Linked DNA regions of Drosophila melanogaster. The protein of the gene in region 1 interacts with the protein of each later gene in a biochemical or structural test. Each region holds a gene or a part of one and is shown on either strand. Other genes may lie near its edges.

Evidence for each region. The genes of interacting proteins can lie anywhere in the genome.
Region 2: of the proteins of Hug (region 1) and PK2-R2, one has a biochemical effect on the other in vitro, tested with the Drosophila melanogaster proteins (one study listed by BioGRID).

What each region holds. Positions count from the first base shown.
Region 1 is NT_033777.3:12,524,231-12,529,590, reverse strand, and holds Hug (hugin), read right to left. Parts: upstream 3,404-5,360; 5' UTR 3,236-3,403; coding exon 3,152-3,235; intron 1,841-3,151; coding exon 1,561-1,840; intron 1,016-1,560; coding exon 804-1,015; 3' UTR 515-803; downstream 1-514. UniProt on the Drosophila melanogaster protein: Probably has a role in larval molting.
Region 2 is NT_033777.3:13,328,554-13,336,179, reverse strand, and holds PK2-R2 (pyrokinin 2 receptor 2), read left to right. Parts: upstream 1-2,013; 5' UTR 2,014-2,290; intron 2,291-3,341; 5' UTR 3,342-3,436; exon of another isoform or gene 3,437-3,751; 5' UTR 3,752-3,928; coding exon 3,929-4,283; intron 4,284-4,530; coding exon 4,531-4,696; intron 4,697-4,775; coding exon 4,776-4,908; intron 4,909-5,226; coding exon 5,227-5,425; intron 5,426-5,493; coding exon 5,494-5,708; intron 5,709-5,863; coding exon 5,864-5,977; intron 5,978-6,224; coding exon 6,225-6,842; 3' UTR 6,843-7,110; downstream 7,111-7,626.

The DNA of each region.
Region 1 (5,360 bases):
TTATTGCATTTATGGAAGTAAAATAAAGAGGTAGTTACTTTTGATAAAAGCCTCAGAACATGGATACTTTAAATTAAAGTTCTCCACTGAAAAAGCATTCATAAAATGTTTCCGTTTCCGCATTCATTGCAAGCCCCGCACAATTTTCTATGCTTCATCAGGCCAAATAAAGCCAGAAGCTTTTGACCGGACCACAATTGTGGCACTGGGTTTTTGAAAGGGCGCGGCAAGGGAACCAAGATATTTTATCAGTCAAAATGCACACACATGGGCCAACTGCAAACGGCAGTTGCCATGGTCAACACTCATGGGCGATTTTGTGGCAACGGATGTTGGCCGCATTTTTCCAATTTACGCGCCCTACCATTGGTTATGAAATTCTCATAAATTTAACTGGAAAATGGCAATATAGTGTATAGTGGACATAGAACCCTAGGAAGCGCAGGTCGTTAATGAAATTGCCATGTTTATTTAATTCCCGGCTCATTTGGAATGTAAAATCAACGCTACTTTTGGGGGCTACACAATTTATTTAAATAAATAATAAATATATGTACGGTATATACACATCATTAGTTCCTCTCAAATCAGGGTTATAGCGCTAGTAACTAGTAGAGTAGTCATTCACTATGCATATATGTGGATTATTTTTGCGTCGCGTCGAATTCAGCTGGCCATTATGGCTTGGTTATGTTAACTCAAGGGCCAGTCGCCTGGCCTCAACCTTGTCCTGGGCTCGTCCTCCGTCCTCCATCCGCAGTCCGATTCCGTGCCGTGCCATGTCCTCGCGCCCTTGTCGTGACTCAATCGCCACCGCACACTTGAGCACGTTTGCCCAGGCGTGGCTTGAACGGCACCGATTTCTTAACCATGCGCTGCATGAACTGCCCGCCGATGGCCTCCTCGCCGCCCGCCATTCCCGTCGCCCCCTCCGCGTCCAGTAGTCGCCAGGAGTCAATGCTGCGGCCAAGGCGTGGCGTCCGCACGCGATAAGCGGGCTCCCCATTACTCTGCACTGTCCAAATGGAAATAGGGAGAGTATTTCATAATATATGTATAAGCATTTTGATAAGGAAAAAATGAATGCGAAATTTTCAAACAATTTTGTTCAAATGTATCCAACATTCTTTGGATAAGTAATAGTTTCCATGATTGAATAACATAAATGAATGAATGGTTAACTCAATTTGAAAAACATTGAACATTGCCTAAGTCACTGTGAAGGAATTTTTCTAGTAAAAATTGCAGATTTCTCGGACTTTTGTACGGTATTGTCATTACGTATGGAGATTGTTCTTTTTTTTCTGAATATAAAATATTCATTTAAATATGCCAATGTCTTGTGAAGTAAAGAAACGACATGCATATTAAATGAAAATAACATTTTCATATTATGTTTTTCTCTCTGCAAAAAATGAGGAAAAGCTTATGTATAAAGTATGCGAACATTATGGAGATGGTTGCGTGAAATGGGAACGTGATTCGGAAACCAATTAGAGCGACTTGCCCTCTTCATACATATATCCTTCACATTTCAGCAGGTGTCCATAGGCAACTTACGCTGTCGTAGCTTTTGAAGGAGCAGGTAATAGGTCAGTGGCGGCATGGTGTCCAAATCGAATTCCTGGCCCTGCGGCGGCATGGCAGCCACCTGCATGGTGGCACTGGCCTTCTGGGCCAGGCTATTCTCCTCCAGCTCGTCAATGATGTCTGTCAGCTCTTTGTAGTCGCCCATGGCGCGCTTTTGACGTGCCTCGCTCAACGCTGGTGAAGCTGGTGATAATGATCCTCTGGCAGAGCCGGCGCTGATGTGATTTCCCAAATCCAGTTTGCTCGTGCCCTGCACAAATAAAAAATGCCATAAAAGCAGGGGCCAAAAAAGCAGGCGAAAAAAGGAGCTAAATATTTGAGATATTTCCTTGGAGGATGTTGTTTTTTTTTACTGAGGGTTCCCACGCTGCCAAACTGTCGACACGTGTTAAGTTATTTTTATGCCGCCTATTTATGCTCATACTCGTACGTGAGCTGCACACACGCATAAAGGTCCTTCCAACCGACTTGCGGGTGTGCCTGTATGTGTGCGTGTGGGTGTCTATGGATGTGAGTGTGAATGTGCGAGTCAAGCACTTTATTGTTTCAATTTACACCCAGGCATGGAAGGCAGATCAGCGTGTGCCGCTTGATTAGACAACTCAATGTAGATTGAAATGCCAACACCTGAAATCGGCTTGTAAATCGCAATTCGCCAATAAACGCTCACTCTAAGCGGATGTCTGCGTGGGCGTATACTTGATATTAAACCTTCATTTGGCTCAGCATTTTCGAATACACTCAGCACAGTCGATATATTTTGCAATATTCTAAGCTGATATGAAAAAGAGCAATGTTGTAGCTGTCGTGAATTTATTGGTTATTTCTTTAGTTTCTTTTAGTTTCCCCGTTTAAATAAAAATATTATGAAACATATTCGTATAATATTCCCTGACAATAAACGAAAAAGAATAAGTTTGTAATTAAATAATTAATAATAGTTACAGTTTGAATTGTAATAACACTAAGCATTTTGTAATGTCCAGAATTTAATACAAAACACTTGCGGATTCGATATCAAACGATATAATTTACCTAAAACCAAATACAACACCACAAATTCCCAACCCAATGAACTATGCATAAACTTGATATAATTATGTCTTTTTGATTAATTAAGGCCTACTAGGTTTTATTACATCTGCACTGCCAAGCATGGAAAGTTATTTTAATTAGTGGTGCGAGAATAAGTTGCGCAACACGTATACGCAGTGTTGCTGCGATTGCAACCGAAATGTTAATTGGATGCCAATTGATTGCCTGCTGGCAGAAAAAAAAAATAGTTGCAGTATCTGCAAACTAATTGGTAGCACTTCAAATGCAGTTGACAGACGGGAAACGAGTGCGCCACATAATGCTGTAAGGCACACGTCAAAGTGAAAACTTTTCGCCCCAAAATTTCCGTTCCAAAAATCCAAGAATTTCAGCACTGGTTGAAAATTATCACGCTAAGCTGGCGAACTTGTGCCTGGGCAAATAACACTAATTAAGTGGCGCTTGTTTGGCCAACAAGCCACAGTACCAACACCACCACATTTTTCCCACTTTGCCCGAGACTCACCTGCAAGGACTTCGCATGACTGCAAACAAGGATGTAGCAGGAAGCCGCGATTAGCAGCAGTGTGCAATAACTAGGACCACACATAACTGGGCCAACTGTGTTCGCTGCTAGGTGTTTTCTGGCGTTTACGAGCGACTGACCTCCCAGGACAGGACAGGACACTCCGGAAGCGCTGGAACTATTAACTTAATAGTCGGACGATCGAATGGAACCGCGTTGCGCTTTGGGACTGCTTTGCGGGACAACTGATGCCAGCAGCGCGGCAGATAGCAAGTTATATAGCCAAATGCTAGCGGCCCCATGCGAGCCTGATTAGGTCCCTGATGGACGGGTGCTAAGTGATTTGTTATGCACTCTAATACCGGCCAAAAGGCAGCCCGCTGGTCAGCGTAAACAAGCGAATCAAGCGGCAAATCCCAAACGGAAGCGCCACCAATTTGTCGCCCACAGAGCAAGTGAAAAATAGGATTCAATGAGTGACTGGCATTCAAATTGGGAAGCTAATTGTAAAGTCTGCAGTGGGAAAAATTACAACAAAATCAAAAAATACATTTTAATACGAATTTTATATGGGCTTTACCTCAATTTCCGGGTTATCACTTTAGTCTGATGATATTTAAACTGACTGTTGCAGGTATTCGTTGATAAGCCACGAAATATTTTATTATAGCGGCTTAATAAACGAGCTAAATGCTTGCTTACTGATAAACCCACAGATGCAGATTTAAATATAAGTTGATAGGTTGTCAAAAGTATGACATAAATAAATTAAACCAAACCCTTTTATTATGACGTATATAAAAAGCTTCTGAATAATCATATAATTCATAATAATAATGGATATGGATTAAATGCCCTCTTAGCAATGGGACACAGGTATTCTCAAATTATTTTCTTTTAAGTGTATCCAGCGTAATCGTGGGGCATCCTGTTTAATGGAAATCTGAGCGCGTGTAAAGTCCATCACGCCCCTGATGGCGATGGCGATGGCATTAGGCCCAACACCCACCACAATGGGGGCAATGTCAATGCCGTTGACGCTGCCAATCGATCAATCTTATTTAAATGTTGACAGTTGTCTTCGCATTGTATCCTGTAGCTTGGGGCCTGTTTTTGCCTGTTTTGCCAGTTCTGCGGATGGGAAAAGGCTTGGGGGAACTCCACAGCTTCGCAGCTGGCTTATTTAAATGCCATCCGTGAGCCGCATTAGGTTCAATTTGCTGGGCAAACACATCTTGCACACCTGCGCTGGCAAGAAGCTTCTCCTTTGACTGACTGAGCTGTCAGCAGGCATTTAAAATCAGATTGTGAGCACTGCGATTGTCGGCTGCCAAGCGAGAATGGGTCAAGAAGGCTGGCAAATCAAATTTCTCATACGCCCCGGAAGACATAAGCTGCGCACACGTGGTCGGGCTTCAATAACAGTTGGCTGCAAATCACGAGAATTTTCAATTATCTAAACTTGGTCCCTGGTCAGACATCAACCATCCATCAATCGAGTGTTTTTCTGGATGCTGTCGTGATGGTCATTCGTGCAGCTGTTGCAGCTACTGGTCGAGTGTTTATTTGTGCCACTAATTTACACAAACATGACCCGGACACGACCCACACACAAACTCGACCTGGTGACCCCCAGCTGGCATTTATTTATTTACTAACTCTACGTACGTGGGACGACCTCTTTTCCAGCCAAGGCCCTGAAGGATTTATCTATTTGCCAACTGCTGAAAATGTATCCTTGACGGACGAAAAAAGAAAAAAAAAAAAATGGAACGAACAATGCCATAAAGTTGCGAAAAATGTAATTTGACAAACCCGTATCTGAGGGATTACCTTGCACTGTAGTTCTTCTCTTTCAATCTATCAACAGATTATATGTGTGAACTAATTGGACGGCCAACGCAAAGTTATATTTCGATGCATTGTTTCTTTTTATCCGACAGATATGTCGAAATGGAAAGTGACCTTGTTCAACGCGATTTTATAAAATAACTGATACAATGTGATATTTAATAAATTGAAGCATGAAATTAGAGCGCAATTTATTTCGTCAAATGTAAATTGTTTCGAAATCTATCTGACAAATTGTTCGTTCGTTAATTTCACGCCTGGGGCAGTTTGCCGCTACAATATTCACTGCCTGCAGGATGAAACCCAAATTACATAGGGCTTTCAACCAAATTAAATAGTTTCTGCCATTGAAAAATAG
Region 2 (7,626 bases), 800 kb from region 1:
GGCTTTGCAGTGCATGTGAAAGTCTGCCTTCATTTGGCCAATCGAAGGTCACAATTAGCCACGAGCTATGAAATTTTGTCACCGACTTGTTGAGCGCGTGCGAAGGTTCAATAAATTGGTCCCGCTTAATAAAAAAAGCCGAAACTTGCAGAAATGTTTATACTCTGATTCATAATGCAAACAAAACTAAAGCTACTCTTTAATTAATAATATGTAAGCCAACAAAAAATACAGGCATATAAACAATTAAATGGTATAATCGAAATGAAAGAAAAAGAGAACTATAATAATTAAAAAAAAAAAAACCGTTGTTGTATTCTACTGACAGATAACTTTATATTTGCTGTGCCATCCTTTTTTCCTTTTTAGAAATGTAAAATCAGCCAATTCAAAGTGTTTTAAATGTCTGGGCTCATATCCACTATCTTGTCCTGGCAGACAAGTTTCATATTTTATTTATATAAGCCCCAACTCTTATATTATATTGCCTGTACTTAGGTGAAAGTTAGGGAAAGCAGTGCGCGGCAACGGGTTGGTCGAACTGCAAATGACTTTTGGCCTGCCCTCTCTGCGTGCAATAAAACTAAATGAATTGGAAACTTGCACAAAAATTCAACCAAACTGCTGACGAGGATGCCGCCGTCGCCTGATGACAGAGTCCTGGGCAAAAGGCAAAACTTCAAAATGCCAAACAAAACGCCCCGAATCTGATGTCATGCCCAATGTTCATAAAGAGCAAGGCAAACGAAAATCTCCCCCATTTTCCACTTTCTTGGCCATTTTTCTCGGCTTTCGTCAACAATTGGCAGCCAAAGTTTTGACTGGGAATGCCTTTGCAGCACGTGCTCTGTGTTTTCCCTTCCTTTGAATTCATGAGATACTCGATGTAGAAAATGTTGTAGGGTCCCTGACAAAGAAATGCCAACTCCGACCCTAGATTTTATATCCAACAACCACCAGTATTCATTGTTTGTTTAGGACTTTGTTTTGATTAAGTGCCAAAAAATTGTTTCGAATTATTTACATAAAAATTGAGAAATTGAATGCATGCAATGGATTTGATTTGTTTGCCTCGCGATTCGATTTTCCAAGCGTCTCATATACATTCGCTATATTTGTTTGCTCTTAATATATATCGCACCAACGCTGGGATAGGAAAATACACATTTTATGAGCCGCAAAGCTTTGATAGATTTTCCCGCACATAGCCATAAAAGTTAGGCCCCGGGGCACTAATAAAATCTCCCTTTGACTGATCATAAAACCACGGCATCATGTCCAATTTCGTGACTTGATGTCTGGGGCTCAACGGCGTACAAAGTGGTTGCACAAATTAATTTTAAGCAATTCGGATGTTTTCGCTACAGTAATAAAAGTTTTGCAGAGAAAATCGCACCATATAGTGGCAGTTACATCCAATTATGGTGCGCTGCAATGTAAATAAAATGCATTCATGCAGGAACATATGCATAGTATGCATATGCCAAGTTTTTAAATAGCAAAGTTATATTTGTATATAGTCTCAATTTTACAGAAATACCACGTTAAATCGTTTTCTCACTTAAGGGCACCGAGCGTTTCTAATCCGGAAAATTAGGTTCAGTATAATAAATTTCTGTTCTTATTCTTTGAGCGACCACTTCACCTTTTCCGAGCTGCCTTGACTTAAATTGATTGTGGTTGTCGGTTTAGTTGGGTTTTAAGTGGGCGACAAGGTCGGCATTGCATTGTCCTTTGGCTCTGTTAACATAATAATCAAACAATTTGCCGCCATGGGCAAATTAATACGCCACTAAATAAGATAAACTGCATGGCACTCCAGAATTATTTGCATTTTTATTACCCTTTTGCCGGGGGACCCTTCATATAAGGCCGAAAATCAGCAGCGCGCCGCCGCAGAGAACCGAAAAGCAACCGGTAGTTGTTCGCTGCCGACGTCGCTGTTGCGTCGCTGTTAACGGCAACGACCGTGGCCCGAACGGACTTCGTTGCCAAGATATTTTGGCCAAAAACCCAGTCAGTCGGATGCTGCGGCCCGTTGCTGTAGCCGCCGCCGTCGCTCTTTCGGTTCTTACGTTTTCGGATCATTTGACGACGAAATAAAACGAGATATCGGGAAAACCATCAATTTACGCGTGCCCCTCAGTCATAATTTTACGATTCGGAGAATCATTTTACGTACCAGAATTAATCAGTGCCATACGCAAATAGTTAAAGCCATTAATTCTGTGAGCGTGTATATCAAATTAAGCCCAACACGTTGCGGTCATTAATCAACATTTAGCACATGGTAAAAAACTGATTAGCTATATTGCAATAAAACACCTTAAAAACAAAACGAAATCACATCTCAGAGAAAGTGAGTGAAAGAATGGGGGGAGCACAGAGAGTGCAATGCTCGCAAATGCGAAGGCAGAGTGACAAAATCAAAACAGTTCAAAGCCATAAAAAATAAATGCATTCTGAAAAATGTGGCAGGCATCGTTTGATAAATTTAAATTAAACGTGTTTTAAATGCACAAACGATAGCCAGCCGAGTGTCGAGATATATAATTAATTGCCATTAGGCGGAATGAAAAGTTCCGAACAGGAGCACCGAAACAGTTGTAAACAAGTTGAAAATAAATAAGGCATTATCGGGGGCCTCAAGATCTACAGATTGCCAGTGAAATCCATTGACCCGAAACACTAATGGTGCAGAATCTATAATAACATATTATGCCTCAATGCGAACCGGCTTGCCAAGCGCAAAATATGGAAAATAATAGTAAACCAAATACAAAACTCACACTTTATGGACATGGGCGGGTGCATGGGCATAATTTTTTTCGGTGGGATGCCACACGGTCGATCATCGGAATCATCGGACAACGAAACGAAAACAGAAAAATGAATAAATGAAAACCAGTTTTATCGAATATACAATATAATAAAACCTAATTCGACAGCATTCTTTTGGTTGTGCATATATTGTAGAAACTTTTTTATGATAATGATAATGAAAACGTCCAAAAACGGTCAACAGCGGTCAGCAGCAACAATAACGAAAAGTATAGCCAGAATGTGAACAGAACAGAGCAGAACAGCAGCAGCCGAAAACACTCATCATCTGAATGGAATGAAACTATGTTAATGTTATTAAGTCACCCGGTGTCCATTTGCCATCGTCGTCTCCTTATCCGTCTTATCCACCACCTGACCTTGAGCTTCTGGCTCGTTTCATTCGTTTGCCACCTGGTGTTGGGTGGGAGACGGATCGGCAGGCCTGTCCTTCTCAGCCTTGTAGCAACATCCTTAAATTCATCCAGTGTACACAAATATTTTGACTAAATGCCACTTAGCAATTCAAATTAATTTTCAGCTTCCACTCGCCCTGATCCTGGTCTTTCGCCTAGGACACGCCTGACTGCCGCCTGCCAGTTTCCCAGGATGCCAGGTAAACACACAGGACACAAACACGCTTTAAGACGGGCTCTCTAAGGTGGACCTTAGCAAGCTAAACAAAGCGCACAGCTTACCAACCAAATTGTGTATATGTATAATTTATGGTAATTTAGAAATCTGGAGTAAAAAGCCTTAATGTTTGAATTTGTTTTATTACTAAATTCGTTAAAATGCGTTATTTGTCTTGTATTATTTTATTTAAATTTTAACAAATTTTGAAAAACATAGTTTTATTTAAATAGCACATAGGGTCCACCTTATCACACACATCCGTACACATAATTTAATCCCACACTCATGACAACAGATTGCAAGTGGAGTGGCTCTGGCCTAAGTCGAAATTGATGAGCCCCCGTAAGGGGCGTTATGAAAACATTATTTGCAAGCGAAAGCTTCGATTGAGAATACATACGCAGAAGTCTGAAATTTCCAAAGAAATTCGAAAATAATAGTGCGTATACACACACACAAAGACACACACCCTATGGCAGTCAAAATGCTGCCCACTAACAGTTCCGGTGTCCTGGCAACCGATCTACAACTGTTTCACAATGAGAAATTTCTCTTAAATCTGACACAAGTGCTGAACATCTCCGCGGACAACCTGACCAGCCTTCTCCAGGGCCTGGAGCCGGAGGAGCTTTTGCCCACGGTGACCCCGATGACACCACTTTCACTGCTGGCCACCCTAAGCGTGGGCTACGCCCTCATATTTATCGCCGGCGTTTTGGGCAACCTCATCACATGCATTGTCATTTCGCGGAACAACTTTATGCACACGGCCACCAACTTTTATCTGTTTAACCTCGCTATATCCGACATGATTTTGTTATGCTCAGGTGAGTGCAAAACTAAAATGTTCATGGTTTTTGAATTATAATTTAATTCAGTTCAGTAGTGCAAACAATAAATGGAACTGAGGCATATTAAATTAAAATTTGTAAATAAACAAGAAAATGTAGAGTGAGATATTCGGCAGATGCTCAAATCGATTTGCATTTTGAGGCTATAGGCTATAATTTCAGCTATTATTAAATATTTATAATCACACTATATATTTTGCTATTTTGCTATTTATGTTCTTAGGAATGCCGCAGGACCTCTATAACCTCTGGCACCCGGATAATTATCCTTTCAGTGACAGCATCTGCATATTGGAGAGCGTTCTCTCGGAAACGGCGGCCAATGCGACAGTTCTAACCATTACCGCGTTCACAGTCGAACGATATATTGCCATTTGTCATCCGTTCAGGTAAGGGAACCTTCATTCCTTCCACTGCCCATTTCCATTTTGCCCCAAACTTGCTTAATTGGTTCTGCTTTCGATACAGGCAGCACACGATGTCCAAGTTGTCACGGGCCGTAAAGTTCATATTTGCCATCTGGATAGCTGCCCTTTTGCTGGCCCTGCCCCAAGCCATTCAGTTCTCCGTGGTGATGCAGGGCATGGGAACATCGTGCACGGTGCGTATGATTGATGCGAGACCCTTAATCGTATGTCCCCCAGTTATGAGTTACCTGGTTAATTGATTCGTAGAACCGGTCCTTTGATCCTTTGATTCATTATGTGTTTTCCGTATAGAAAGTTCGAATAGAGAGCCTTTGTGAATTACAAAAAATTTAAGAGCATGATAAAAACAGCGACAATCCCTTACGAGGTTCGACTCAGTTTAGGCAATCAAATTTACAGCCATTGCCTTCCGGCTGTGGCTGTAAGCCAAAACCATATCGTATCGCATGCGAATACACATATATATTATTTTTGTGAAATGCCTGCTGTAGATGAAAAACGACTTTTTTGCCCATGTGTTTGCTGTGTCGGGCTTCCTGTTCTTTGGCGGACCCATGACGGCCATCTGCGTGCTCTATGTCCTCATCGGGGTGAAGTTGAAACGGAGCCGACTCCTGCAGGCGCTTCCCAGGCGATGTTACGATGTAAACCGGGGGATAAGCGCCCAAACGCGAGTCATCCGGATGCTGGGTAAGCAGGATATGAAATATCCGAAATAACTCATGGTTGCATCAGGCGCCCTTATCCAACTTTCCCAGTGGCGGTGGCCGTGGCCTTCTTCATCTGCTGGGCCCCCTTTCACGCCCAGCGGCTGATGGCGGTCTATGGATCCACCTCGGGCATTGAGTCCCAGTGGTTCAACGACGTGTTCAGCATCCTCGACTATACGTCCGGTGTTCTCTACTTCCTCTCAACTTGCATCAACCCGCTGCTCTACAACATCATGAGCCACAAGTTTCGTGAGGCTTTTAAGGTGAGTTTCGCTGCCGGATATTCATTTCTATAGCTTGCGTTAGGAAATTGAAAATAAGCTTCAGGTTACAAGTTTATTAATCGATTCTTTAACGGTCAATTTAGTGATTTTAAACTTCAAGCTAGAATTAAAAAACGTATTTAATCCCATTTTAGGTAACTTTGGCTAGACACTTTGGACTTGGTGGCAAAAATCAGGGAAGGGGGCTTCCTCATACTTACAGCGCTCTTCGACGTAATCAAACGGGTTCACTGCGGCTGCACACAACGGTGAGTGCACTGAGAAAAATTACATAATTATCATTCGATATATGCACTTAAATTCTATTATGTGGCATTATTTAAGAGGAAAATGAAAAGGATTAATATAGTGTATGTCCTGTTTCTCAAAATGAAATTTGAATCACGAGACTTTTTAAAACCACTATAAGATGTTTATTGCGTTACTTATTTTCGTGTCTGGCGACTGCACTTTCCCTTTCTGATTATCCCTCCATTCCTTGATTTCCTCCTGCAGGACAGCGTTCGCACCACAATGACTTCCATGGCGACGACCACCACTGGGCTAAATGGCTCTGCCAATGGCAGTGGCAATGGAACGACAACGGGTCAGTCGGTGCGCCTGAACCGCGTGTCCTTGGACAGTGTCCAGATGCAGGGTCAGAATCGCAGCCGGCAAGACCTCTTCGATAATCCGCGTCGCATGCTCCAGACGCAAATATCGCAGCTGTCATCGGTGGGCGATGCCCATTCCCTCTTGGAGGAGGATTTGCAGTTTCCCGGGGAGCCACTGCAGCGCCAGCCCACGATGTGCTCCATTGACGAGCTCACAGATGACTTGGCCATCTCGCGGTCACGCCTTAAACTTACGCGCATCACCCGCCCACCAGGAGGTGTGACGGGGGGCGTGGCAGGAGGCAGCACAACAGGGGCCGCGGGGTCGGGGGGCGTGAGCGGTGACGAGTCGAGTGGCAAAGTGCGCAAGGCGAAAGTGAAAGTGCTCAAGAGCTCAAGCCCGTTCAAGGGTCTCAGGACCAAATTCAATTGGCGTGCCAGACGCAAAGGCAGCCACAAACCGCACGAAAAGGGGGCGACGGTGAATGGAGGCGACACTGAAGAGCGGGCCGCCTTTTAAAGGGGGTCAGCATATCCTCTATCTGTACTCGATAAGCGAGGTAGTCCATTCCAGTGCCACCTACGTACATTACACACACACACAACTGTGATACGAGCAGCAAGCGCCACTCCAGCTTGTTTGTGTTTTAATTTAGACAAATATTCCGCGTTTGGGGTCAATTATATGGTTGTCCTTACCAATAACCGTAATATAGCCCAAAGCTATAGTTCGAATTATAGTTATAGTGCACGTAATCGAATAAACTATGTAGTTATGTACTCAGTTCAAAAATTCGACCGTTGTTTCATTTATAAAGTGGAGTTTAATAAAAAAAGAATGGACTTTTGATAAAAATAAAATGAATCTACATAGTTAAGCGTAAATAGTATTTGGAGTACAGTGATATATAAATACATATTAAGGTTGATACCCTAATGGTTTTATTATACAATTTAAATATAAAAGCGATCTCAGTTTTTTAAACAGCTGACCGACTTTGTTAGCAGTCCAATAGAAACTGTTATCTAATGTCAGTTTTTCAATATCCATTAATAACATTTCTCTTGCAGTAAATATTTTTTTCCCATTTAATGAATACATTTTTTTTTTTTGAAAGAGTGTGGATCAAGTGGGGATTATCAAGAAGAGGGTTCAATGGGCGTCTGGCTAATTACTGTCAGTAAAAAGCGGGCACTGCATCATAATCCCTGGCCATTAAGATGTTTATCTGGCGCACAAATTCGCTTTTTGGTCTGGAGTCTAGACAGTGGATGAAAGCCATTCTCGCGATTGGCCAACATTC